Linked DNA regions of Sus scrofa. The protein of the gene in region 1 purifies or fractionates together with the protein of each later gene. This does not show direct contact. Links are inferred from orthologs where the notes say so. Each region holds a gene or a part of one and is shown in the gene's direction. Other genes may lie near its edges.

Region 1 (3,500 bases):
CTACCTTTTTTTTCTAGGTAGCAATTACAGTGAAAAATGTGACGTCTTCAGCTGGGGTATTATCCTTTGGGAAGTAATAACACGTCGGAAACCCTTTGATGAAATTGGTGGCCCAGCTTTCCGTATCATGTGGGCTGTTCATAACGGTTTGTGAAACATTTTTCTTCAATATATTTTGTATATTTCCTGTTTGAAAATTGTTTCTCCCCCAAAGAAAACCATTTATCCCTAATATTAAAATATACGATTCCTTATTACCGGTCTCCAACCCTCCCCCACCCCAAAATTGGGTAAGGCTGGGAGCAGCGGTGGCTCTTGTACAAAGCTGAGAAGGTCTGCTGGCTATGCTCATTAGGGAAAGACCATCAGCAGACAGCAGGAGCCACCTACCTAGACCAGCTCTCTCTAGAGGCTAGGGGAGCACTGGGCTAGACTCTGTGGAGAAAATAAAATTTAAAAATTAAATGAATAAAATATCTCACATTTTTGAGATAGTTGGGGAGGTACGGCCTTTTTCTCCTGAGGAAGCAGGTGTCTCACTGAGGAGAGAAAGCAGCGAATAATAAGAGTTGTTAATTAAGGTGCTTCTAAAAGCAAACACAGAGGGCTTCACATTGCCTTCTTTTTTTTTTTAATCTTCTCATCTGTCTTGTGAAGCGAGTACTATTATTGCCTCATTTTGCAGGTTTACATATTAGAAAACTGAGACCTAGAGTGGTTAAGTAACTTGCCCAGGGTCACAGGTGGTATTGTTGGGATGTAAGTCCGGATCTTGCTGATTCCAAAGTTAAACTGATATATGGACACAGTGTCTTTGCATCCCTCCTATTCCTTTTGTACCTTTAATGGTTATATTTCTCACAGTGTTACTAACCATTCATATTAGAATATATCATTAATCCAGTTACTTTCCAGTTGCTTTGGGAGAATAAACTCTTCATGAAGGAAAATTGCTTAACTTTCTTCTAACTTTCAACATCAGTCTCTTGTTTAATTTCTGTCACTTGATTACAGTTATTCTGATTAATAGCATTTTAACACACTATTCCACATGTGATACAAACAAACATCAGCCTCACCGTTTTGGTCAGTCATAGACATGTCAAACAGCCATGTGAGTTATCTCAAGTGTGTTTACCAGTTTCCAGTACCACCTTTCATTGTACTGCCTTTCTTGTCATTATAGAGAATGCTAGAGCATGACCCAGGACACAGTTTGTTTTCTTTTTCTGTCAATCGTCAGTAAATAATTGAATGTTAGTGAAGCAAGGAATAGAAGAAATAACTTGTTAGTTGGTAAATTTATAAAGATTTCATTGTGCATTTGAAGCCTTCTTTACGTTAGGGACCTTACTAAGGATATTACAGCCTTGTTAATTACACCAAAGTTGGCATTTTTCAGCCAATGAAATGATTGATTCACAGTGGTCCTGAGGTCTGCCTCCCGCAAAGGAACCATTTGGAGGTCAGTGAATTTGACATCATAATTGATGATTTTTGACATATGGAAGGTGATTTTTCAAGCACTTTTCAAATTTTTTATAAATCTGAAAATATAGTAAATAATTATCCCAATACCATTTTATTTACCTTAAAAAGACACACACTTGGAGTTCCCGTTGTGGCGCAGTGGTTAACGAATCCGACCAGGAACCATGAGGTTGCAGGTTCGATCCCTGGCCTTGCTCAGTAGGTTAAGGATCCAGCATTGCCATGAGCTGTAGTGTAGGTCACAGATGTGGCTCGGATCCCACGTTGCTGTAGCTGTGGTGTAGGCTGACAACAACAGCGTTTAGACCCCTAGCCTGGGAACCTCCATATGCCACGGAAGCAGCCCTAGAAAAGGTAAAAAGACCAAAAAAAAAAAAAAAAAAAGATGCACATTAAGCCATTATTTTTTGTTAAAAGAGCGTCTATAACAAATTAAACATTATTAACTCTAAGTTGTACTGCATATAAAACTTTCAATTTGGCTTTTCAAAAGGAGCAGCTTCCCCTTTATGAAAATTTAATGTTAATCTAAAGGACAGAAAAAATGTACTTTTATTCCTCCTTTTAAAAAAATCTTAAATCATAAGATCTGTAAAATAAATATTGCTTTGGAAATACATTTTTTAAAGAAAGCTTGTAGCATTCTTTGGGTAAATATACATTCTTTTCTCCTCTCCTCTAATTTTCAATTATAGGTACTCGACCACCACTGATCAAAAATTTACCTAAGCCCATTGAGAGCCTGATGACTCGTTGTTGGTCTAAAGATCCTTCTCAGCGCCCTTCAATGGAGGAAATTGTGAAAATAATGACTCACTTGATGCGGGTATAATCCTTCTTTTGAGGGGCTTTGGGTTTAAGCGAATTTTGTATATACTGAGTTTTAATGCAATTTTAAAGGGGCGCTATTGTCATTTTTTTGCTTATACTTTTCTGTATTTTCCACATTAGAATGAGTATTCCTGACTAATATAGTCAGAGGAAATGTGACTTTGGAGAAAAAAAAAATCTAGTTCTTTATAACGGAAAGGTGGCTAGATTAGGCTTCTAGACTTCTTTTTCTTCCTGCTTAACTTAGTTTTTAGATATGTTTGTTTCTAGTCCTGTTGCCTTATCTGTAATGTGAGAGAGGTTGAATTAGGTGATCTCTGAAGCCTCTGTAGAACTTAGGTATTTTATCACTCTAATACTTGCTAAACAAAATTTTAAATTTTCTTTAGTACAGATCCTTTTCAAGCAGTCATTTATGTAGTAGGTAGAGAGGCTGCCTTCCTAGACGCATTCACCAAAGTGATTTTTAGCCTTCGACTTTTCATTCCATATTTTCAGCTTTTCATTTGCCATTAAAAAGTTAAACTTTCTTAAAGGATCTATAGAATTTTGGTAGAGGAAGTGTTTTAAATGATTATCAGAATTCTCTAGTCTTTAAATCAAACACTTTTTTGTTTAGTACTTTTAGGCCTCTGGTTTTTGGTACACTAACAAAATTTCTCAAGAGGTTCTTTGACTTTAAAAAGTTTATGTCCTTATGAAAGTGTCTGAATTTCAGAACAACTTGCAAAGTAGAAGAATCATTCAATCTCTTTAAATATAGATTAAGAGATTTCCTAAATGGCCAAAGTTCATTCTACTGAAATTCTATTCTAAATAGAAATTCTATTCTAAATACGTCATTCTATTGAAAATAACTTAGGCAAACCACTTGAACAAATCTGATTCAAGCTTAACGTAATATTGGAAACTAGCTATGTCTAGAATCCTAGGACCTAAAGATACACTTCTAAGAAAGCAGCTCAGTCTCCATAATCAGATACCTTAAAACTTTGGATTATATAAATTGTTAAAATCTTAATTGTGCCTATATGTGCTTTGTATAATTTGAGAAGAACACCATTCCCCCCCCAAATTCTCATTTTAATCCAGCAAATATTTCCAATATTTTATCTCTTACAGACATTCATAATCTATCTTTGATATTTAAAATATTGATTCCAACATTTACCCTGTGA
Region 2 (3,368 bases), on another chromosome or scaffold:
TTCCTTGGAGTGAGTGAGCCCCCCCAAGGAGGGACGGGCACTTCATCTGAGAGGGAGCCGAGGGGTAGGCTGAGGAGGGGCGGCATCCTGGGGGGAGGGACCCGCCTGACTCCTAGCCATGACCTAAGCAGGGATTTGCAACCCCACTTAACAACCGAGCAAAGCCAGGCTCAGAGGGGTCAAGTGACGCCCAAGGCCTCGCAGCACCAGTTCAGTCCCGGTCCTTTCCGGGCCACCTCTGGGCTTGAGGGTAGAGGGCAGCACTCCTGGCCTGCTGGGGGCCGCTTGGGGATGTGACCTGATCCCACATGTGGTCCTAGGAGCGGGCAGCCAAATGGCGGACCCCCGACGGCCTGATGGACGGCTTAACCACCAACGGGGTGCTGGTGATGCACCCAGCCGGCGGCTTCTCTGAGGACTCAGCCCCAGGTGTCTGGCGGGAGATCTCGGTCTGTGGGAATGTGTACACTCTGAGGGACAGCCGCTCGGCACAGCAGCGGGGGAAACTGGTAGGTGGCCTGTTCACTGACCCCCTCCCCGTTCCTTCCCTGCCCTTCCAATCTGCCCTTCCCCCCTGCCCGAGCTGGGCGATGGCCTCGTCCTGCTGCACAAGGGAGCCCCAACAGTCTCCGTGTGGGGGCGTTGCCTCTTGTCCCCATAGAGGGGACCAGACCAGCATCTGCAAGTAGAGCCCACATACTGCCAGAGGTCCGTGGGGGGGTGGGAAGTGGCGCACACAGACACACCGCGCAAGACCAAGTGGCGGTGGGGTGTCAGCCGCTTAAAAATTCACACCCTCTTACGAGGGTGACACTTGGCCTGTGTGTGAGCAATTTATAGCCTAAAGTGTTGGCAGTTTGTAATGTGTCTGTCACATTCACACGGGCTTAGCTTTATTCTCTCCCAGCAGGAAAGGGCCTTGAGAAGCTCTGACACAGGTGACAGTGAACGTACCACATGGTACAGATCAGAGAATTAATGTGAGGTTCGCGGGGCCAAGCGCCTCAAATGGCCCACGCAGAGTTTTTTCTCTGTATGAGCAAGTTGGGCAAGGAAATGCCAGACCCCAAGGAAAAGCATGGCTTTTGTTTCCAGAGCATCGACTCTATGGGGAGATCTGAGGAAACATTATTTTTTCAAGTTATGCCTGTGACTGTTTCACTAGTACACACTTATTGAGCACCTACTGTGTTCCAGGTACTGTTCTGTGTGTTTACATTGATGGATTCATGAGAACCACTTGCTAGACAGGGAAGCAGAATCCGTCTTGAGGATAAGAAGTTAAGACACAGAGAGGATGAGTTACTCCCCCAGGGACACAGAGTTAGGAAACGATGGTGAGGCTGGAACTTTCAGCCAGACAATCTAGTGCCGGAGTCCTTGCTTTTAACCACAGCCCTTAGGACAGCTGCTTTGAGCTAAGTCCCCAGTGTTTTGGACAGAGGACTTTCTGGCCTCTTCCATTAGGGGAGAGCCTGGGAAAATGTTTTAGAAAACCCTCATTTTGGTCTAGACCTTCTGATTTGACAGATGAGGTGACCAAGGCCCACGTTCCACGGAGAGTAAGCAATGGTGCCTGCCTGGGACGACTTGCCTACCTTCCCATGGCTTCTCAGTCTTTCCTGCTTCTCTGCCCCAGGCCTCCCCTCTCCTCTGTCCCAGCCCTACTGCCTCCTCTGCCCCAGCCCTACCCCTCCTCTGCCTGAGCCAGCACCACTGGTTCTGGGTGCTCCCTCCAGGGAGGTTCAGTGGGATGGATGTGGGGGGGGGGGCTTGTCTGGGGTGATGGTGGCCGATAGCAGGGGTTTCAGGAGCCTCTTGGGCACTAAGGCCCTTCCGCTGCCCCTGCAGGTGGAAAATGAGTCCAACGTGCTGCAGGACGGCTCCCTCATCGACCTGTGTGGGGCCACGCTGCTGTGGCGCACGCCGGCGGGGCTGCTGCGGGCACCCACGCTGAAGCAGCTGGAGGCCCAGCGGCAGGAAGCAAACGCGGCTCGGCCCCAGTGTCCCGTGGGCCTCAGCACCCTGGCTTTCCCCAGCCCGGCCCGTGGCCGCACTGCACCCGACAAGCAGCAGCCCTGGGTCTACGTCCGCTGCGGCCACGTCCACGGCTACCATGGCTGGGGCTGCCGGCGAGAACGGGGTCCCCAGGAGCGCGAGTGTCCTCTCTGCCGCCTCGTGGGGCCCTATGTGCCCCTGTGGCTCGGCCAGGAGGCTGGCCTCTGCCTGGACCCTGGGCCGCCCAGTCACGCCTTTGCGCCCTGCGGCCACGTCTGCTCCGAGAAGACTGCCCGCTACTGGGCTCAGACGCCGCTGCCCCATGGCACCCACGCCTTCCATGCCGCCTGCCCCTTTTGCGGGGCCTGGCTCACTGGCGAGCATGGCTGTGTCCGCCTCATTTTCCAGGGGCCGCTGGACTAGGCTCCCTGGGGCCTCCTGCTGCTGCGCCCGCCTGCCCACCCAGGTCCCCCACCTCCTGCAGCCCAGAGGGAGCTCTGCATGTGGGACTCTACCTGCTGGCACATAGCCAGCCGGATGGACGCGTTGGATGGGCTGTGCCCTTCCTCTCTTAACTCTGACTCCGAAGGGGGTCCCCGCGACTCCTATCCCCAGTCAGAATAATGGGGCCATCGGCACCAGCTCTCACTCGGCCGATGGAGGGGAGCCCACCCCTGTGCCCCAGCCCGTCCTGGGGCATCCCACATCATGCCGCCTACACTGTGCCCCTGGGGGAGTGAAGGGGCCGGGAGCCCCTGACCCCCAGCTTAGGCTGGCTGTGCCCTGAGCCTGCCAACCCAGCTCCAGATCATCGCCCTGCTGCTGCTCTGGGTTCCTCTATAAACCTTGCCGCTCAGCTGCCCTCCCAAATCCCGCGCGTCCCACGTGCGTGCATCGCCTCCCGCCCCCGAGTGAGTGACGGGTGGGCGGCAGGCGGGGACTGACATCCGCTGAGCCCCCACGGCGGTCTGGACTGCTTGCCAAATGGGATCTGGGGACACAGAGACAGTCAGACCTGGTTCCCTGCCCGGTGGAGTTCGCAGGCTAGTGGATGCCAGCCCAAATTACTGAATGACAGCCTGGCTTCCTGTGTGCTAGGATCCGAGAAGTATCGGGAGCTGTGAAGCCGGTCTCACTGGCGGGTAGGAAAGCGAGGAGTGAGAGAGATTCACTGAGGAGGTGCATCCGGGCTCAGCCCCAGTGGCTGGCTGGGGATCCTTACAGGAGGGGAGGGAGGGGGCCCCAGACAGAAGGGAGGCGGGGCACAGGCTCAGGTGTAAGTGTGCAGGGAACTGAGTGAGGGGTTCAGAGTGGCTGCAGCATGGACTGCAGCGGGGCAGAAAGGGGCCTGGAGGTTGGGGCCGTGCTGG
Region 3 (3,500 bases), on another chromosome or scaffold:
GAAACGAATCTGACTAGCATCCTTGAGGACGCAGGTTGGATCCCTGGCATCACTCAGTGGATTAAGGATCTGGCTTTGCCATGAGCTGTGATGTAGGTCACAGATGTGGCTCGGATCTGGCATTGCTCTGGCTGTGGCATAGGCCAGTGGCTACAGCTCTGGTTGGACCCCTAGCCTGGGAACCTCCATATGCTGCTGGTGGGCCCTAAAAAGCAAAAAAAAAAAAAAAAAAAAAAAATCAAGGCTCCAGAATCCATGTTCCAGAACACATACTGTATTGCCTTTAGAAGTTAGTCCAGTTTAGCTCTTCATGTATTGGCACAATGTTTCCTTTTCATCTTTTCTATTTTATTTTTCTTAGACCTACCCTTTTATTATGACAATGTATGAAAGATTCATATAGTCAACCCCTCCCCTTTTGGATTGAGGCCATAATTCTTTTTAATCTCAAATTCATCTGAACACTAGATAAATTATTTTATCTCTTAAAAGTAGTAAATATTTTAAGAGTTAAATGATTAAAACACAAATGGTGTCCTGATGGAGCTCAGTCCACCTTGTTGACTCCTAAATTGTGTAGTGGTCTAAATAATTTGAATTAAATGTCTAAATAATTTTAAATGTCTTCAGAGTTTTCCTACACTTTTTTCACTAAATATTGTTTCTGTTCTTACATTTGTGTGCCCCACTTTTTAAGGAACATTTTGTTAGATAGTTTAGAGAATTATAAGATATTGTGTAGTATCTGAACAAAATTTGCAAATGAAATAAAACTCTAAAGGACATGTCAAAAGTACAGAATGGTTGTCACTGATAGTTTTTTAGGCAATCCTTGTCATGAACATAAATATGCTTTATATGCTAATTATACTGTTGTCAACAGATATTCTTTTGTGGTAGGCATAAGTCATATAGGAATTTTATTTATTTCAAAATTTAAGGATACTATTTTTAGCAGATTATAAATAAGAACACATAAACCTGAATTGTAAATAGAACCCAGTGATAATATTAGATATGAATAGTTTAGCAGTTCTGTGAGATATGGATAAATTTTAAAAGCACATGACACAAAGCCGTTTGTCATAAAAAGCAGAGTATTCAGGAGTTCTCCTGGGGCTCAGTGGCTTAAGGATCCGGCATTGTCACTGCAGTGGTTCATGTCACTGCTGTGACTCAAGTTTAGTCCCTGGCCCAAGAATTTCTATATGCCACAGATGCAACCAAAAAAAGTAAAGTATTCAATATATATACTCATTCAGAATAAAAGGCAAAAAATACTCCTGTTTAATTTTTCAAAACTTAGTCTCTCTTTTTAAACCTGTGATATTATGCTAAACTCCAAATTGCTATTGCTTCTAGAGTTGTTGGATTCAGCACTATGGAATCCAGTTTGTTAAGAAACTGGTGAAATATATAGAAATAAAATATTAATATATATATAGCATTTACTGTGGCCTCAAATCCAAATATAAACAAATTCAGTCAATTCTTAGGTTTAAGAGAAAATTCATAAATCAATTATTCTTTTCCCTTACAGATTGCAGATTTTGGTTTATCAAAATGGCGTATGATGTCCCTCTCACAATCACGAAGTATTAAATCTGCTCCAGAAGGAGGGACAATTATCTATATGCCACCTGAAAACTATGAACCTGGACAAAAATCAAGGGCTACTGTCAAGCATGATATATATAGGTACAGTATATTACTTTTCCTCAGAGTTAATCTTGTCTACAAAATAAAAATTTTGAAGCTACATTTTAAAAGTATGATTTTTATGCTTGTCTAGTTTGATGAAAACAAATTAGAGATAGTGGTTAATATTTTTCAAATTAAAGATGCCTTGCTTTAAGCCACTTTTACATCCTTAAAAAATATTAAGGTATTTCTTATTGTTCTATTAATTTATAATATAATATCCAAGGATCTTTATCATATGACATTGATAAGGGGAGAGAAACAGTGTGATTAACACTTAACACTACCAAAGGAGATGGTACTTACCACCAAAAAAAAATCTGTAGAATAGGGCTACCTGGGAGAGTTTTTTATTACTCTTTGTGTGAATAATAGAATCATGTAATTAGAGGGCATAGCTTAATGTGTTCAAGAGTCACTCACAAGTTATCCTTGCCTATAACTTCAAGTTTTCATTACAATAACTTCCTAATTTTTCAAATTGAGTTAATTCCCCTTCAAAACAAAACTATATATGAACATTCATCATCTTAGTTCTATATAGTGATTCTTTAAGCAGCATTTCACTACCTGTCTCTACAGTCAGCTTTTAAATTCAGTACTATTTTAGTTTATTATGCTAGTTTATAATGTACTGTATATATATACATATGTATTTTATCTTAAACAGTTATGCAGTTATCACATGGGAAGTCTTATCCAGAAAACAGCCTTTTGAAGGTAAGTGTACTTTGGCTTCCTTTTTTCAGATGATATCATTTTGGCAAGTCTTACTCACTTGTTTTATTTATTTATTTATTTATTTATTTATTTATTTATTGTCTTTTTGCCATTTCTTGGGCTGCTGCCGCAGCATATGAAAGTTCCTAGGCTAGAGGTCTAATCAGAGCTGTAGCAGCTGGCCTACACCACAGCCACAGCAACGCCGGATCCTTAACCCACTGAGCAAGGCCAGGGATCGAACCCACAACCTCATGGTTCCTAGTCGGACTCGTTAACCACTGAGCCACAACAGGAACTCCCATACTCACTTGTTTTAAATCTCTCTACCATTCATTTTGTGGAAAACACTAGAAAAACATAATAATTTATCAATGTGACTCTATGATATATTGAAAGGTACAGAATTAAAGGTCAGAAAAATGTAGTTTCTTCTTGTTCTGATAGTTATTACCTCTATTAAGGCACTAAGTCTCTTGAGTCCTTATTTTTTTCATCTGCAAAATAAAATTTTGAGTTTTTATTTCTAAGATTCTTTCCAGCTATAAAATTCTTTATATGAATATTTAATTAGTTCTCCTTCTATAAAGACCAGCAAACATTGAAGAATAATTTTTAAATTTTCTGATAATACTGTCTCTTTCTTTTTTGAGGTTTATTTAGGTCATTTTGCTGTGTAACAACCCCAAAATCTCAATAGCTTACAAACTAAACGTTTATTTCTCATTCACATTAGATTTTAGTTGCTATGGCCCTTCTTGGTTCTGTTAAGTTCTACTCAGCTCTGCCAAGCTCTGTTATGCCCTGCTCTCTTCATACTCCATTGGCCAAATCAAATCACATTGCCAAGCCCAGAATTAAAGAGGTAAAGATATAAACTCTTTCCACAAGAGGCAGCCAAGTCTGGCAATAGCTGGGATATAAATATTCCTTTAACAGAAGGGGAGGTAATAAATTATTCCTAAGGTTTTAAGATTCCCTCACTTTCATTTGGTTGGCTTTAGAATATATTTAATATATTAGATCATAATGTATTTCTAATGAATGAAATATATTTGTTTTGACAGAAGTCACCAATC
Region 4 (3,500 bases), on another chromosome or scaffold:
AGAATTTTTCTTTTTTTTTTTTTTTTTTTTTTTTTTTTTTTTTTTTTTGTCTTTTTGATATTTCTTTGGGCCGCTCCTGCGGCATATGGAGGTTCCCAGGCCAGGGGTCCAATCGGAGCTGTAGCTGCCAGCCTACACCGGAGCCACAGCAACGTGGGATCCGAGCCGCGTCTGCAACCTACACCACAGCTCACGGCAACGCCGGATCATTAACCCACTGAGCAAGCGCAGGGATCGAACCCGCAACCTCATGGTTCCTAGTCGGATTCGTTAACCACTGCGCCACGACGGGAACTCCAGAATTTTTCTTTATCAAACATAAATCTTAAGAGTTCTCCTGTGGCGAAGTGGGCTAAAGATCCAGTGTTGTCACTGCAATGGCTGGGTCACTGCTGTGGTGAGTTTGATCCCTGGCCTGGGAACTTCCATGTGCCACAGATGTGGCCAAAAAACAAACAAGCAAAAACAATAACAAAAAACCCACAAGTCTTAAGTTAGTTTCCTACCATATAATATTCTTCATAATCAAATCCCTATATATCTCCCTTTCCAGCTTCCACTTTTAAAAACCGTTATTGAGGTATAATATACATAAAATGCTCAAAGTGCACTAATCATAAGTGTTCAACTCAGTGAATTTTAACGTGTGTGTGTGTGTCCATTATCCAGATCAAGATATAGAGCATTTCCACCACCCCAGAAAGTGCCTTCAGGCCCTCTTCCCAATAAATATCCACCCCCAAATTATATTCTACTATTACCATAGATTAGATTTGAACATCTTAAAAATGTAATCATACAGTATATACTCCTTTTTTCCTCTGGTTCATCATTATGATGATGATTTGCTTATCATATCTATGAGATTGATCCATGTTGTCTGGCAGTAGTTCATTCTCTTGCTGTGTAGTATTTGAATATACCATAATTTATCCATTCACCTGATGATAGATATTTGAATTATTTACAGTTTGGGGCTTTATAAATAATGTTGCTATGAATATTCTTGTGTATGTCTTTGGTGGACATATGTTCTCATTTTTAATTCCCAAGAGTGGAATTGATGAGTCAAAGGATAGAATTCTCCTCTTTAGCACATCACAATGTGTATTCCTTCTTTGAGTATTATTAAAGTGAGTTTCTATTTGCTTTCCTGCCTTAGCTAGTCCACCCCCCTCAGCTGCAGAAACTTAGTCTGAGGATAGGAAACTGATACATTCAAGATCACAGACTGGGACATCTCTCTATTTCTCTTGATTTTTTTCAGAATAATTGCTGGTGACTCAGTAAAGACATCCACCCTTTTAAGTACTTTATGTTAGTTGTTAATGGGTACAGCTGATTTGAAAGATGTTCAAATTTTTGATGCTCTTAACCCTTTTCTTATCTGTTTTACCAGAGTTGCAGCTGCCGGCCTATGCCGCAGCAATGCCAGAGCCAAGCCACATCTGTGACCTATACCACAGCTTGTGGCAGCACTGGATCCTTGACCCCACTGAGCAGGGCCAGGGATCGAACCCACATCCTCATGGATATTAGTCGGGTTTGTTTCCATTGAGCCACAACGGGAACTCCCTCATCATAGTCTTTAAAGCACCTAATCTCAATTCATAGTTCTACAAAATACCTACTTGTATTTTTTTTGGCCTCACCCATGGCATGTGGAAGTTCCCAGGCCAAGGACTGAACCCACACCACAGCAGTAATCCCACCCCCCGCAACAAGCCACAGCAGTGACAATGCTGGATCTTTAACCTGCTGAGCACCAGGGAACTCCCTCACTGCATTTCTATTATAAGATTCTGAAAGTGATTCTTCAGTGCCTCACTATTTCAAAATCCTCTTTCCTATGCAGCTTTGGTTTGCTGCTTTGGTTTTGATTTTTTTTGCTTGCTGCTTAAATTTTTCTTTTAACTATACTTTGCTCTTAAGTTGTGTTGATGAAAATAAACTATGATTATTTTCATCACCAATTCTCGTTTCAGATGATACCATATTCCAGAATCCTATGGTACAAGAAGCTATACGAATGGGATTCAGTTTCAAGGACATTAAGAAAATAATGGAGGAAAAGATTGAGACATCTGGAAGCAACTATAAATCACTTGAGGTTCTGGTTGCAGATTTAGTGAGTGCTCAGAAAGACAATGCACAAGATGAATCAAGTCAGACTTCATTACAGAAAGGTATGTATGCCTGGTTTCAAAAAACAAGAAACACCTAACATCACTTCATTATGGGTAGTATCTTATATGACTTTGTGGCCCATTCATTTCTCTCCTCTCATATTCCCATTAGGATAAACATTTTTTTAAAACTTTTTATTATGGAAAATGTCAAACATACTCAAAAGTGGAGAGAACAGGATAATGAACCTTCACATACCCATCAACCAGCTTCAGTAACTATCAACACTTTTCCAATCTTGCTTCATTTCTTTCCCCAACTTTTTTTTGTTGTAGTATTTCAAAGTACATCCCAGACATTCTATGTATCATTTACCTATAAATACTTGAGTAAATATCTAACAGGTAAGGACTTTTTTTAAGATAACCTTGATAATGTGTGTTAGCTTGCTCAGACTGTTCGAACAGTACCGTGGACTAAGTGACTTAAACAACATTTGTTTCTCATAGTTCTGGAGGCTGGGAAATACAAGATCAAGGTGTAGGCAGATTTGGTTCCTGGTAAGGAGGACTCTTCCAGGCTTGCAGAGGGCTGCCTTCTCTATGTCTTCACATGGCCAAGAGAGAGCACTCTGCTTTCTCATCTTCTTCTTATAAAGACATTGATCCCATCATGGAGTCCCATCCTTGTGACCTCATCTAAACCTAATTTTCTCCCAAAGGCCCCACCTCCAAGTACCATTACATTGGGGATTATGGCTTCAGCACATGAATTTTGGGGAGATAACTAGACATTTAGCCCATAGCATACAATTATCAAATACACTTAACATAATTTCATCTGAAATTCAGTTGGTTTTCTTTTTCTTTTTTCTTTTTAAGGCTGTACCTGCAGCCTGTGAAACTTCCCAGGCTAGGAGTTGAATCAGAGCTGCAGCTGCCAGCCTACACTGTAGGCACAGCCACAGCCATGGCAATACCAGATCTGAGCTGCATATGTGACCTGCACTGCAGCTTGCAGCAACATCAGATCCTTAACCCACTGAGCAAGGCCAGGAATCAAACCCGTGTCCTCATGGTTACTAGTTGAGTTCTTAATCCACTGAGCCACAGTGGGAACTCCCTGAAATTCAGTTGGTTTTAATTTTCCTCATTGTCTTAAAAGGTTTTTACAGGAGTTCCCACTGTGATGCAGCAGGATTGGCAGCATCTCTGGAGTGCTGGGACATAGGTTTGGTCCCTGGCACAGTGGATTAAAGGATCTCGTGTTGCCATAGCTGCAGAGTAGGTTGCAATTGCGACTCAGATCTGACCCCTGGCCCAGGAACTCCATGTGTCACAGGGTGGCCAAAAAAACAAAATAAAGTTTTTACA
Region 5 (3,500 bases), about 180 Mb from region 1:
TTTAAGGTACCAACATACTGCAGTCGTGTGGTTCAGGATTGAGAGGGAAAGTGAGAACTTTTAATACATCATAAATGTTCTAAACCCATCTGAAGTATTGTTATTCTACTTACAGATAATGGTACATGGACTCAGCTTTGGTTGGTGTCAGATTATCATGAACATGGATCCCTTTTTGATTACTTGAATAGATACACAGTTACTGTGGAAGGAATGATAAAACTTGCTCTGTCCACAGCAAGTGGACTTGCCCATCTTCACATGGAGATAGTTGGTACCCAAGGTAAGTCAAAGCAGTCTTGTTATTAAGCTTTAAATGTCCTTGGATCTGATGTCCACTTGGAAAAGTTTTGCAAGAAGTCAGTCTAATGGGAGATGTTTAAACTGAGTTTTTAGATGAGAATACTGAGTGAAGTAAGTCAGAAAGAGAAAGACAAATATCACATAATATCACTTATATCTGCAATCTAATATACAGCACAAATGAACCTTTCCACAGAAAAGAAAATCATGGACTTGGAGAATAGTCTTTCTGTTAAATCTTAAGAGTTAGGAATCTAGGAGTTCCCATCGTGGCACAGAGGAAACGAATCCGACTAGGAACCGTGAGGTTGTGAGGTTCCTGGCCTCGCTCAGTGGGTTAAGGATCTGGTGTTGCTATGAGCTGTGGCATAGGCTGGCAGCTACAGCTCCGATTAGACCCCTAGCCTGGGAACCTCCATATGCTGTGGGTGTGGCCCTCAAAAAAGACAAAAGACAAAAAAAAAAAAGTTAGGAATCTGGGATTTTGTTGAGAGATTCTTTAGGTATTGTAACAACACTGATATTTTTGTGTCTTAAGATTGTATAGTCTTGCTTATGATTTTTGAGGATCTTGATTTAATTCAATGAATTTTATTCTTAATTGTACAACCATCAATTACAACCTAATTTTAGAACATTTCCATCCCCAATCCCCAGTCCATTCTCCCCACTCCCCCTGCAGCCTGTCCCCTGTAACCATAAATATTTCGAAGTCTGTGAATCTGTTTCCCTTCTGCAAGTAAGTTCATTGTATCCTCTTTTTGGATTCCACATACAAGTAATAGCATATAATGTTTGTGTCTGAGGATCTTGATTTTGGAATTCAATTTATATGTAGTATTAAATGAAATATGAAAATGCTCGGTAAACATCAACATGCTAGAAATTTTATCTGACCACCTAGTAATTATATTTGACCTTATGATAAGAAGACTGCATGGGACAGTTTTGTAGTTGAAAAATTGAATACTAAGTTTTGGTTATAAAATTTTTATGCTATGTTTGTGCCATAATATCAGATACCAGTTACATTTTCTGCTTTAATGATCATCCACTTGCTATTGATGGCTCCCACCCCCTACATTACTACACACATCACGTATGCTGTTTTACTATTTCAGCCAGCCCTGTCTTTGTAATTTTTATTGTTGATTTTTTATTTTTGAGTTATAATTCACATACCATACAATTTACCCATTTACTGTATAATTCAATGGTTTTTAGTATATTCACAGAGTTGTGCAGCTATCACTACAGTCAATTTTAAAACATTTTCATTGCCTCAAAAAGAACTCTATTTCTCCCCATTTCTTTAGCTTGAGGCAACCTTTAAATCTACTTTCCATCTCTATAGATTTGCTTATTCTGGACATTTCATATAAGTGGAATCATACACTAAGTTGTCTTTTGTGACTTGCTTCTTTCTCTTGGTATATATTTTCAGGGTTCATCCATGTTGTGGCATTTATCAGTACCATTTTTTATGGATATACCACATTTTGGGTGTCCATTCATCAGTTGATGGGCATTTGGATTATTTTTCCACTTTGAGCTATTGTGAATAATATTGCTATGAACTTTGGTGTATAAGTTTTTGTGTGGATATATGTTTTCATTTCTCTTGGACATACACCTGGGAGTGGAATTACTGAATCAGATAGTAACTCTGCCAAACTTTTTTTCCAAAGGTGCCTGTACCCTTTTAAATCCCACCAGCAGCATATGAGGGTTCCAGATTTTCCACATTATAATTATATTTTAATAGCACTCCTAGAGGCTAGTATTAAAGGTACATTCTAGTTGATTGGCAAAGGAAGTGATCTAGATTCTTGGTTGTTGGATTTGAAAATCAGTTACTAGGGTTCCTCTAAAAAATTCAGAGGGTGTCAACAAACAAATTAATATCTTTAACCCCCCCCCCGTCTTTAAGTGTTAGAGTTCCATTTTTTGAGCATCATATTTTAGAGCATCTTATTTTCTCTGCTTTCTTTAAAGGAATTAACTTCAGCAACTTTTTGTGTAATGATTCACTTTAGGTTGTTTAGTAATGGCTCAGTTATTGTGAGTGATGGAGGCCAAAATGCGTTGATAGTGAGTTTGGAGGAGAGGCTTTTGGACCCAAGTTGAGATTTGTGATTGGTATTACCCTTTATGCAACCATGTCTGATTTTTTTTCTTCTTCATTAGGAAAACCAGCTATTGCTCATAGAGATTTGAAATCAAAGAATATCTTGGTAAAAAAGAATGGAACTTGCTGTATTGCAGACTTAGGACTGGCAGTAAGACATGATTCAGCCACAGATACAATTGATATTGCTCCAAACCACAGAGTGGGAACAAAAAGGTACACTTATGGATACACTGTAATGTTCTTAAATCAACTTCTTTTCCTTCTTATTCCTATATACTTATCTTTCTGAAACTCAGCCTTGTACTTCATTAGATTGCCCACAGGTAGAACTACATCTCATGGTCTTGCCTGCTCTGAAGGCAAAGTTACCTGACTTAAAATGGTACCTGCTGATGAATGGTGCCCTTGCAGAAAGTATTACCACTAGTTCTGTTATCATATAATAGCTAATATTTATAGGGTACCTGCTCTGTACCAATCATTGTAATGGGTTTTTTATATAATCTCATTTAATGCTTTCCTCAAATACTGTACTGTAGTCAAACTGTATTCACATTTTTATTTCCTGAAAACGTGTCTTTCTCTCTTTTAACTTTAACATGTGCTGTATCCTAGAGCAGACTTTCTCCTCCTGTTTCTCTAACTTGTACTTAATCTTCCTTTCTCATAGGAATCCTTTTCTGGACTGTTAGGTTGTCCTTGCCAAGGACTCTCATAATATGCTGAACTTGGACTATTGAGGCACTTGGCACATTACAGCTGTCCATTTATTCGTCTGAATATCCAATTGGACCATAAGCTGCTTGAGAGCAGTCTTGTATTCCCAGCATCCATCACAGTGCCTAATACATTGTAGGTCTTCAGTAAATATTTGTTGAATCTATGAGTACTCAAAGAACATAGGTAGGCAGGTGTCACTACCCTCAATTCACAGATGAGGAAACCATCTCATGGAGGTTAAGTAATGGGGCCACCCTCATGGATGGTAAGCTGCAAAACTGAGAGTTGAACCTGGGCCTTTCTGACCCAAAAGGATTTACTCTGTGTATCACAGCATTTGCCACAT
Region 6 (3,947 bases), on another chromosome or scaffold:
AAGCCCAGCTCCCGCTTTCGGGTGCTCAGCTCCAGGGAATGCCCACCAGGTTCTGAGTGGTCTCTGTGAAGCCCTTCTCACTAGGTACATTGATTTCCTAGGCTGCCGTGAGAGAGTCCAAGGCAGATGGCTTAAGACAACAGCATTTGTCCTCTCTCCGTTCTGGAAACCAGGAGCCTGAAGTCAGGGCGTGGCAGGGCCCTGTTCCCTCTGGGGGCGCCAGGGGAGGGTCCTTCCTGCCTCTTCCAGCCTGTGGTGGCTCCAGGCATCTCTGGGCTGGGGCCGCATCACTCCAGTCTCTGCATCTTCACGTGGCTTCTTCTGTGTCTGTCTCTCCTTTTGTGTCTCTTAGAAGGACACTCATCATTGGATTTAGGGCTCCCCTGATCCAGGAGGACCTCATTTCAGATCCTTCACTTGTATTACATCCTTTTCCTTCTTTCCTTTTCCCTTTCCCTTTTTTTTTTTTTTTTTTTTTTTTTTTTTTTGCTTTTTAGGGCTACACTTGAGGTATATGGAAGTTCCCAGGCTAGGGGTCTCATTGGAGCTGCAGCTGCCAGCCCACATGAGTGAGAGCCACAGTGACACGGGATCTGAGCTGCGTCTGTGACCTATACCACAGCTCACGGCAATACTGATCCTTAACCCGCTGTGTGAGGCCAGGGATCGAACCTGCATCCTTATGGATACTAGTTGGGTTCTTAACCAGCTGAGCCACAATGGGAACTCCAACAAATCCCCTTTCCCAATCAGTCCCGGTTCCGGGGCCCAGGGAGTGGACCCATCTTACTGCTTGGAGGTGTGGGGAGGGTGGGCATTCCAGCACAGCGACCCCTGCCTCCCAACCTCATCTCCGTCGATTCTCCTCTGTGGTGAAATCGGCAGCTTCAGCGTCCAGCCGGGAGCTAGCCTGAGGCGCCGTTTACGGCCGGTGCTGAACCGTGACCTTTGCGAGCCCCACATGAGGGGAATGTGAGCCACTCGTAGACCAAAGAGCCCTTTTTAGCGCCTTTTCCACTTGGCAAAGTGCTTGTCCTTCTGCCGAGCGTGGCCCTGGCACTCCCTGTCCTGCAGGGTAGGAGAGTTCTGCCTGGGTCTCCTCACGCGATGCCTCTGCTGGCATCTCTTTCAGACGCTGACTTGTTGGATGAGCAGGACCCCCTGGAAGAGTCAGCCGTGTGAGATGGTGCAGCCTAGCGGCGGCCCGGCAGGGGACCAGGACGTGCTGGGTGAAGAGTCCTCTCTGGGGAAGCCAACCATGCTCCACCTGCCTTCGGAGCAGGGTGCTCCTGAGACCTTCCAGCGCTGCCTGGAGGAGAATCAAGAGCTCCGAGGTGAGGGCGGCAGCGGGCCTGTGCCCCGAGATCCCGGGCCGGCGCCTCCCACCTGCCGCACCTCTGCCTTCCTGGGACTGGGGCGGCGTGCACCCGGGCGGGTTAGTGATTTGGTCCCAGCCGCCGCCCCCGCCCTGGTCCAGGTGGGGTTTCCGGGAAGTGGACGCCGAGATCCAGGGAGGCACGCAGGAGGTTTATTCAGAGTCCTCTGGGACCAGCCCTGCAGATGGGGAGGGGAGGGCAGGGCAGCGAAGAAGCAGGGGTGGGTGCAGGGAGAGGCCCACCCTGCAAGGGGCTTGAGCTGGAATATGGCCCTTCTGCGTTGTCCCGGTTGGGCCGACGCCGCCAGGCCCTGGTGTCTCCGTACTCATGTACTGACCAGTCAGTCAGAACCAGCCTTACTGGGAGGGGCGCGGGTCTCCTGGGAAGGGGGCGGGATCTGCTCCAGGAAGGGGGTGTGGTCTGCGCTGGGAACGGGCGTGGCCTCCCTGGGAAGGGCCGGGGGGCGGCTTTGGGAAGGAGGGGCCAGGCGGCGCCGGGGACCTGACGGAGGGCTGTGCTCCAGCAGCACTTGCCGGGGGCGGGGGGTCGAGGGCTTTTCGGCACCCCCCACCCCCCCGCCTCCGTCCCAGCCCCACTCACCCAGCCTCCGCGTCCTCCCCTGTATCGGGGTCACCTTCTCGGGTCCCAGGGGCCATGGCTCCGTGCCCCTCAGGTGTGACCCGTTCTTGGCCCCCTCGTGTGGGACAGCGCCCCCTCCTCCTCGGGTTTGTGCCCTGGGCCTCCGCTGCTGGCAAGCTGCCCCTTTGGTGCAGTAGCCTGGGGCATCCGGGGGGGGCACCCCTAGCCTCTCATTCAGTGACACTCTTGTGGGTGGGAGGTTTCTTTTGGGGGTGATGGGAATGCACTGGAACTAGAGGGAGGGGCGGGTGCACAACTATATGAATACATTAAAGCCACTGAATGACTGTGTATTTTTTTTGTCTTTTTTTAGGGCCTCATTGGGGGCATATGGAGGTTCCCAGGCTAGGGGTCAAATTGGAGCTGCAGCTGCCAGCCTACGTCACAGCCACAGCAATGCGGGATCTGAGCCTCATCTGTGACCTACACCACAGCTCATGGGCAACGCCGGATCCTTAACCCACTGACCAATGCCAGGGATCAAACCTGCGTCCTCATGGATGCTAGTCAGATTCTTTTCCGCTGAGCCACAACGGAAACTCCTGATTGTGTATTTTAAAATAGTTAAAATGGTGAATTTGCTGTTACGTGAATTTTACCTCAATTAAAAACAAAAGTTGTGGGTTTTCTTGTGGTGCAGCAGGTTAAGGATCCAGTGTTGCCACTGCAGTGGCTCAGGTCGCTGCTGTGGTGCAGGTTTGCTTCCTGGCCCAGGGACTTCACATGCCGTGAGTGCGGCCCAAAAAAAGATCTTTAAAAAAACCCCCAAAACAGAGGTTTTGTGGGAGCTGAGGTGAACCTCGGACGGAGGCTTGGCAGGTGGCCGTTGGGGGGGACCATCTGCCTTCGGCAAGAGGCCTTGTCCAAGGCTTGTTGGTCAGCTGCACAGGAGGAGTCATGTGGGGACCGTGGAGTCCAGAAGGTGGCTTTGGAGTGGGGCTCAGAATTTGCCGTAGGAGTTCCCTGGTGGCTCGGTGGGTTAAGGATCTGGTGTTGTCACTGCTGTGGCTCTGGTCGCTGCTGTGGCACGGGTTCAACCCCTGGCCTGGGAACTTCCACATGCTGCAAGTGCAGCCAAGAAAAGGAGGGGAGAGAAAATAACTTGCTGAAGTTCTAGTGAAAGAATGTTCCAGTAGCAGGCACCAGTTAGCTGGTCACGTGTTTTGACCAGAGGGTGACATGAAGCCACTGCCTGCCCCGTGTCATCTGGCTCTGTGCTTGCTAGAACCTCTGCGTGCCGCTGATGAGTTTTGTCGCTCACGATGGCCTTCTGCCGCCTGGGGTGTCCGCTGGGTGTGTGGGGAGAGGACGACCGACTGGTCCCCGAGTTGGTCTTGTGTGCCGGCTCTTGGCTGCTTGTTTGTGTGACCTTCCTTGTCCCGTGAGATGGGTGTCATCGTCCCCGTTGGGACATGTCGATGAGGATGGTGGGGCTTCGGTGACCGGCCGGCTGGCTCCAAGGCTTCCGGCCCCCAGTCTGCGGCAGCAGGGCCACAGGGACGTTTGCCCTGTGTGGCCGGCCCCCTGATCCTGGAGGCAGTGACCGGGTGCCCTAGGGTAGGCCTGCCTCCCACCCGAGCAGAACATAGACGAGTTCCAGCGTCACTTACAAAAAAGGTGGCATCGGACCCAGAGCTCTCAGTGCACCTGATGTGTTTAATGTTTGATTGGAAAAGCATGGGCACGTGATGGGCACCACTGCTTTTGAAAGTGCGCTGCCTGGGAGAGGCCGGCGCCCTCACCTCCCTCTGCGTCTCCTCTGCCGCCAGATGCCATCCGGCAGAGCAACCAGATGCTGCGGGAGCGCTGTGAGGAGCTGCAGCGTTTCCAGGGCAGCCAGCGGGAGGAGAAGGAGTTTCTCATGCAGAAGTTCTGCGAGGCCAGGCGCCTGGTCGAGAGGCTGAGCCTCGAGAAGCTGGAGCTGCGCAGGCA
Region 7 (3,500 bases), on another chromosome or scaffold:
AAGGACAGCAGCAGCCTGGACCAGGTGGGCTGGCCGGGCCTGCGCCCGCCCTGCAGACCCGTGCCCTTCCCCACCGGGGCCCGGGACCGTCCTGCGTCTGGGTAGCGATGAGCAGAAGCCGCTCGTTTTGTAGCTGGAAGATGCAGCAAAACCCTGGCCTGGCCACCCCTGGCCGGGTGGGCTCAGGCAAGCCACGTCCACGTTAGGACTGCAGCTCGTGCTCGGCTGCCCTCTGCCAGCCCTCAGCCTTGCCCCTGGGTTTCCTTAAACCCATCGGGACGGTCGCTGGGTTTAAGATGCCCTGCTCCCATTAAAGTCACCAGGGCCCGTAAGGAAACTGCCGTTTACGGGTGATAGAAAGTTCAGGGCACATGTCACAGCAGGGTCCCAGGCATCCAGACGTGAATGTTCCTGCCATCAGAACAGATGCTGCTACTCCTGCAGCTGTGGGTTTGGGCGCCGTCTCATGCAGGTGCTGTGCCAGGGTCTCGTTTAGGCCACGGAACTGACCTGCCGGGATGGTGAGATCACGGTCTCCCGTGGCCAAGGGTGGAATCGGAATACAAATAGCTAAGCCACCTGCCTGAGGGCATCACGAGACCGTGGCCTGGAGGAGCTGGGACAACACCCCCCGCCCCCGCCCCCGCCCCCCGCCGAGGACTCAGAGCCAGCGATGGAGGCAGACTGACACGGCATCCAACCCAGATTGTGAATTATGAGTGCAGGGGGGCTGCGGGAGCCCAGGGCAGGGGGCCCCCATTCTCTCAGGGTTCCAGAGAGCCTCCCTGCAGGAGAGGCCAAGATCCCCACTTGGAAAGCTGCCCCTCTGACTTCTCCTGGGCATGGCTGAAGTGTCACTTCCTCCGCGAGGCTTTCCCCGACCCCCACAATGGAAACCAGGAGCCTCTGTGTTAGGCTGTCCCTGTGGGCATGTCCCACGGTGTGTGATGATGCAGAAGCTCCCTGTAGGCGCCTCTGTTTGTCCAGCACGTGGCGCGGGGCCAGGCACGGGGTGGACTCTCCGGGCACGCCTGCCGAATCCGGGAACCAAGGCCCCCGCTAGGTCAGGGGGATGGGGCCGGTGTTCCAGGCCACAGGGACAGCACAAGCCGAGGTCCGGGGGTGTGACACACAGGGCATGCCATGGACGGGCCGCCCCTGGCGGTTCTGCCATCTGTAGAGTGGGTGGCGGGGACAGGCGGGAGGTGTGGCTGGAGGGCGGAGCAGAAGGGAGCACAGTGGCCCGTCAGCCAAGGACCTTGGTCTGAGTTATTCTTGGACTGTGATGATTTGCATCGTACTTCTTGCACGGCCCAAAGCTGTGCGTTTGGAGGCAACTTAGCAGAAGGGTGTCGTGCAGCTTTGAGAGGGTCCCTGCGCCTCGGCCCCAGATCGTGACATGGGTCCCTTAGGGCGGTGCCTGGCACTGGTGTTACACAGCAGCAATTTTTATACTCGCAGCTTCAGTGCAGGGCTAGAAATTAGGGATCCAGTGGGGGCATATCAGAGGAGGGGCCGCAACCAGCAAGGAGGCAGTCCCTTTGCCCTTGCAAAAAGCACTAGGGCTGCTCCAGCCCCTGGCAGGAGGGAGGGGACCAGGGCTTGTGGGGAGGAGAGCAGAGCTAGAATGATAGGTCCTGGCATCGGGCTGGGTGCGGGGGTTGGGAAAGGGGAGCAGGTCATCCTGAGTTTCAGGCTTGGGTGCCTGAGGGAATGATGGCACATTGGCAGAGCCGTTCCCCTGGCTGGCATCCGCTCCTCGGGCTCCATCACTGACCCGGCTCCCTCCTTGCCTCCAGAGTCTGCCCAGAAACCTGCCCGTGACCATCATCTCTCAGAACTTCGGGGACAGCAGCCCCAGGACCAACGGGCAGGAGGCTGACGATTCTTCAACCTCAGAGGAGTCCCCGGAAGACAGCCGATACTTCCTGCCCTACCACCCGCCCAAGCGGAGGATGAACCTCAAGGGCATCCAGGTGCTTGCGGGGGGAGGAGGGCAGGCGGCGGCGGCGGGACCGTCGCAGGTGGGGCCGGTGAGATGGGGGTGGGTGGGCGAGGATGCAGCGGGGGGGCCCCCACGTGGTTCCGCAGTGGGTCTCGGAGCCCAGATGCCTCTCCACCTGTTTTCGTGCTGTGAACGGAACTCGTGCCCCCTTGTGCTTTTTCCTTTGCTGTTTTTATCCATGCCCTCATCTCTCGTGCCTGCAGTAGAAGGGAAAAAAGGAGAGCAAGAGGGAGAGAGAATGAAAGAGGCATTACCTCCGAATTCATTCGTTTATCGAACAAATAGGTATTGAGTACCTGTCACGCGTTTATGGATGTTAGTGGCTTGTGACGGGCGCTGGACTCACAGCAGCAAACCCGTCCGCTGTGCCCAGTATCTGCGCCACCCCTGGGCCGAGGGATGAACACGTGTGCGTGAGCGAGTGGACGAGTGAGCAAAGGAATGACGGGAATGGTCTCCTACGAGGGGGCCGGGCAGCGCCTCTGCTCCCCCGCCCTCGCACACGTGGCGCGGCAAAGCCTGCCGCGATGCCACCTCCTTTCCTGCCATCCTCCTGTGTCCTATACCCAGCTCTGCCCAGCTTCACCCTCCGTTCCCCCCTGCCGCTCCATGTACCATCCAGACCACATGGCACAGCCTCCCTCAGGGTGGGGTTGGGGGGCTGTTTATTCCAGCAGCTGCCCGCGTGGGGCCGGGGAGCCGCGTGGAGACGGGCATCCTGTGCCTTCTGTGATTCCAGCAGCCACGTGGCAAGGGCCGGCGTGGGCTCGACTCAGTTTCCTTCTTCCCCGAGCTCCGATGACACGCGTCTCGGGCCTTGTCTGATCGTGTCCTCTGTCTCTTCCTTCTGCTCCCCACCTCCAGCTGCAGAGAGCCAAGTCCCCCATCAGCCTGAAGCGCGCCTCCGATTTTCCAGGTTAGTGAGACGTCTGGATCCCGCCCCAGGCTGTCACTCTGACTCGGGGTCCCTCTGTCTCTGCCATCGTGGGCACCAATCCCGTGAGGTTAACTCGGGATGGGTCTTGGGGGCACTGGGGTCCCAGGGTGGCTGGCGGGGTGTCCAGATGGACACGGCATCGGAGAGGGCAGGAGTCTGCCTGCACAAATGTCCTATCTGAGGTTTCCCTTCCACACACCCCCCCACCCCCGGCACCAGGGGTCCATCCAGGGCCCCCGAGCCCTCAGCTGAGCTTTGCATGTCTGCTCCTGGCCTGTCGGCCGGAGGGCAGCTTGACCTCGCAGACTGCTGGCCAGGCGGCCCCCAGCCTGCAAGCTGCCCCTGGTTCCCAAGACACGCTGTGCTCAGAATTCCCCTCCCTCATCCCCAGCACAGCTCTGGAGTGACAGCTGGCTAGCGAGGGTTTGCCCAGGTGCAGGGAGCCCCTGTGGTGTGCCAGGTGCTGGCAGGTCCACGTAGGCACTTCCGCAGCCCAGGTGCTCAGGCGGGGCCGTCGGCAAGGAGGAGGAAATGGCTCAGACTCCCAGAGAGCGGCTG

Evidence for each region.
Region 2: the proteins of MAP3K7 (region 1) and PELI3 purify together in Homo sapiens (affinity purification with western blotting; 3 studies listed by BioGRID and IntAct, with this or other methods). This does not show direct contact. The link is inferred for Sus scrofa from reciprocal best matches to the Homo sapiens genes MAP3K7 and PELI3.
Region 3: the proteins of MAP3K7 (region 1) and RIPK2 purify together in Homo sapiens (affinity purification with western blotting; 4 studies listed by BioGRID). This does not show direct contact. The link is inferred for Sus scrofa from reciprocal best matches to the Homo sapiens genes MAP3K7 and RIPK2.
Region 4: the proteins of MAP3K7 (region 1) and XIAP purify together in Homo sapiens (affinity purification with western blotting; 3 studies listed by BioGRID). This does not show direct contact. The link is inferred for Sus scrofa from reciprocal best matches to the Homo sapiens genes MAP3K7 and XIAP.
Region 5: the proteins of MAP3K7 (region 1) and TGFBR1 purify together in Homo sapiens (affinity purification with western blotting; 3 studies listed by BioGRID). This does not show direct contact. The link is inferred for Sus scrofa from reciprocal best matches to the Homo sapiens genes MAP3K7 and TGFBR1.
Region 6: the proteins of MAP3K7 (region 1) and IKBKG purify together in Homo sapiens (affinity purification with western blotting; 8 studies listed by BioGRID and IntAct, with this or other methods). This does not show direct contact. The link is inferred for Sus scrofa from reciprocal best matches to the Homo sapiens genes MAP3K7 and IKBKG.
Region 7: the proteins of MAP3K7 (region 1) and CARD11 purify together in Homo sapiens (affinity purification with western blotting; 3 studies listed by BioGRID). This does not show direct contact. The link is inferred for Sus scrofa from reciprocal best matches to the Homo sapiens genes MAP3K7 and CARD11.

What each region holds. Positions count from the first base shown.
Region 1 is NC_010443.5:58,520,176-58,523,675, reverse strand, and holds part of MAP3K7 (mitogen-activated protein kinase kinase kinase 7), read left to right. Parts: intron 1-17; coding exon 18-146; intron 147-2,186; coding exon 2,187-2,317; intron 2,318-3,500. UniProt on the Homo sapiens protein: Serine/threonine kinase which acts as an essential component of the MAP kinase signal transduction pathway. Plays an important role in the cascades of cellular responses evoked by changes in the environment.
Region 2 is NC_010444.4:5,950,052-5,953,419, reverse strand, and holds the end of PELI3 (E3 ubiquitin-protein ligase pellino homolog 3), read left to right. Parts: coding exon 1-9; intron 10-320; coding exon 321-509; intron 510-1,851; coding exon 1,852-2,421; 3' UTR 2,422-2,868; downstream 2,869-3,368. UniProt on the Homo sapiens protein: E3 ubiquitin ligase catalyzing the covalent attachment of ubiquitin moieties onto substrate proteins. Involved in the TLR and IL-1 signaling pathways via interaction with the complex containing IRAK kinases and TRAF6.
Region 3 is NC_010446.5:47,040,634-47,044,133, reverse strand, and holds part of RIPK2 (receptor-interacting serine/threonine-protein kinase 2), read left to right. Parts: intron 1-1,540; coding exon 1,541-1,698; intron 1,699-2,371; coding exon 2,372-2,421; intron 2,422-3,488; coding exon 3,489-3,500.
Region 4 is NC_010461.5:101,427,677-101,431,176, forward strand, and holds part of XIAP (E3 ubiquitin-protein ligase XIAP), read left to right. Parts: intron 1-1,985; coding exon 1,986-2,186; intron 2,187-3,500.
Region 5 is NC_010443.5:240,905,086-240,908,585, forward strand, and holds part of TGFBR1 (TGF-beta receptor type-1), read left to right. Parts: intron 1-115; coding exon 116-283; intron 284-2,490; coding exon 2,491-2,647; intron 2,648-3,500. UniProt on the Homo sapiens protein: Transmembrane serine/threonine kinase forming with the TGF-beta type II serine/threonine kinase receptor, TGFBR2, the non-promiscuous receptor for the TGF-beta cytokines TGFB1, TGFB2 and TGFB3.
Region 6 is NC_010461.5:125,043,733-125,047,679, forward strand, and holds the start of IKBKG (NF-kappa-B essential modulator), read left to right. Parts: upstream 1-1,147; coding exon 1,148-1,334; intron 1,335-3,784; coding exon 3,785-3,947. UniProt on the Homo sapiens protein: Regulatory subunit of the IKK core complex which phosphorylates inhibitors of NF-kappa-B thus leading to the dissociation of the inhibitor/NF-kappa-B complex and ultimately the degradation of the inhibitor.
Region 7 is NC_010445.4:2,165,378-2,168,877, reverse strand, and holds part of CARD11 (caspase recruitment domain-containing protein 11), read left to right. Parts: coding exon 1-24; intron 25-1,799; coding exon 1,800-1,976; intron 1,977-2,869; coding exon 2,870-2,921; intron 2,922-3,500. UniProt on the Homo sapiens protein: Adapter protein that plays a key role in adaptive immune response by transducing the activation of NF-kappa-B downstream of T-cell receptor (TCR) and B-cell receptor (BCR) engagement.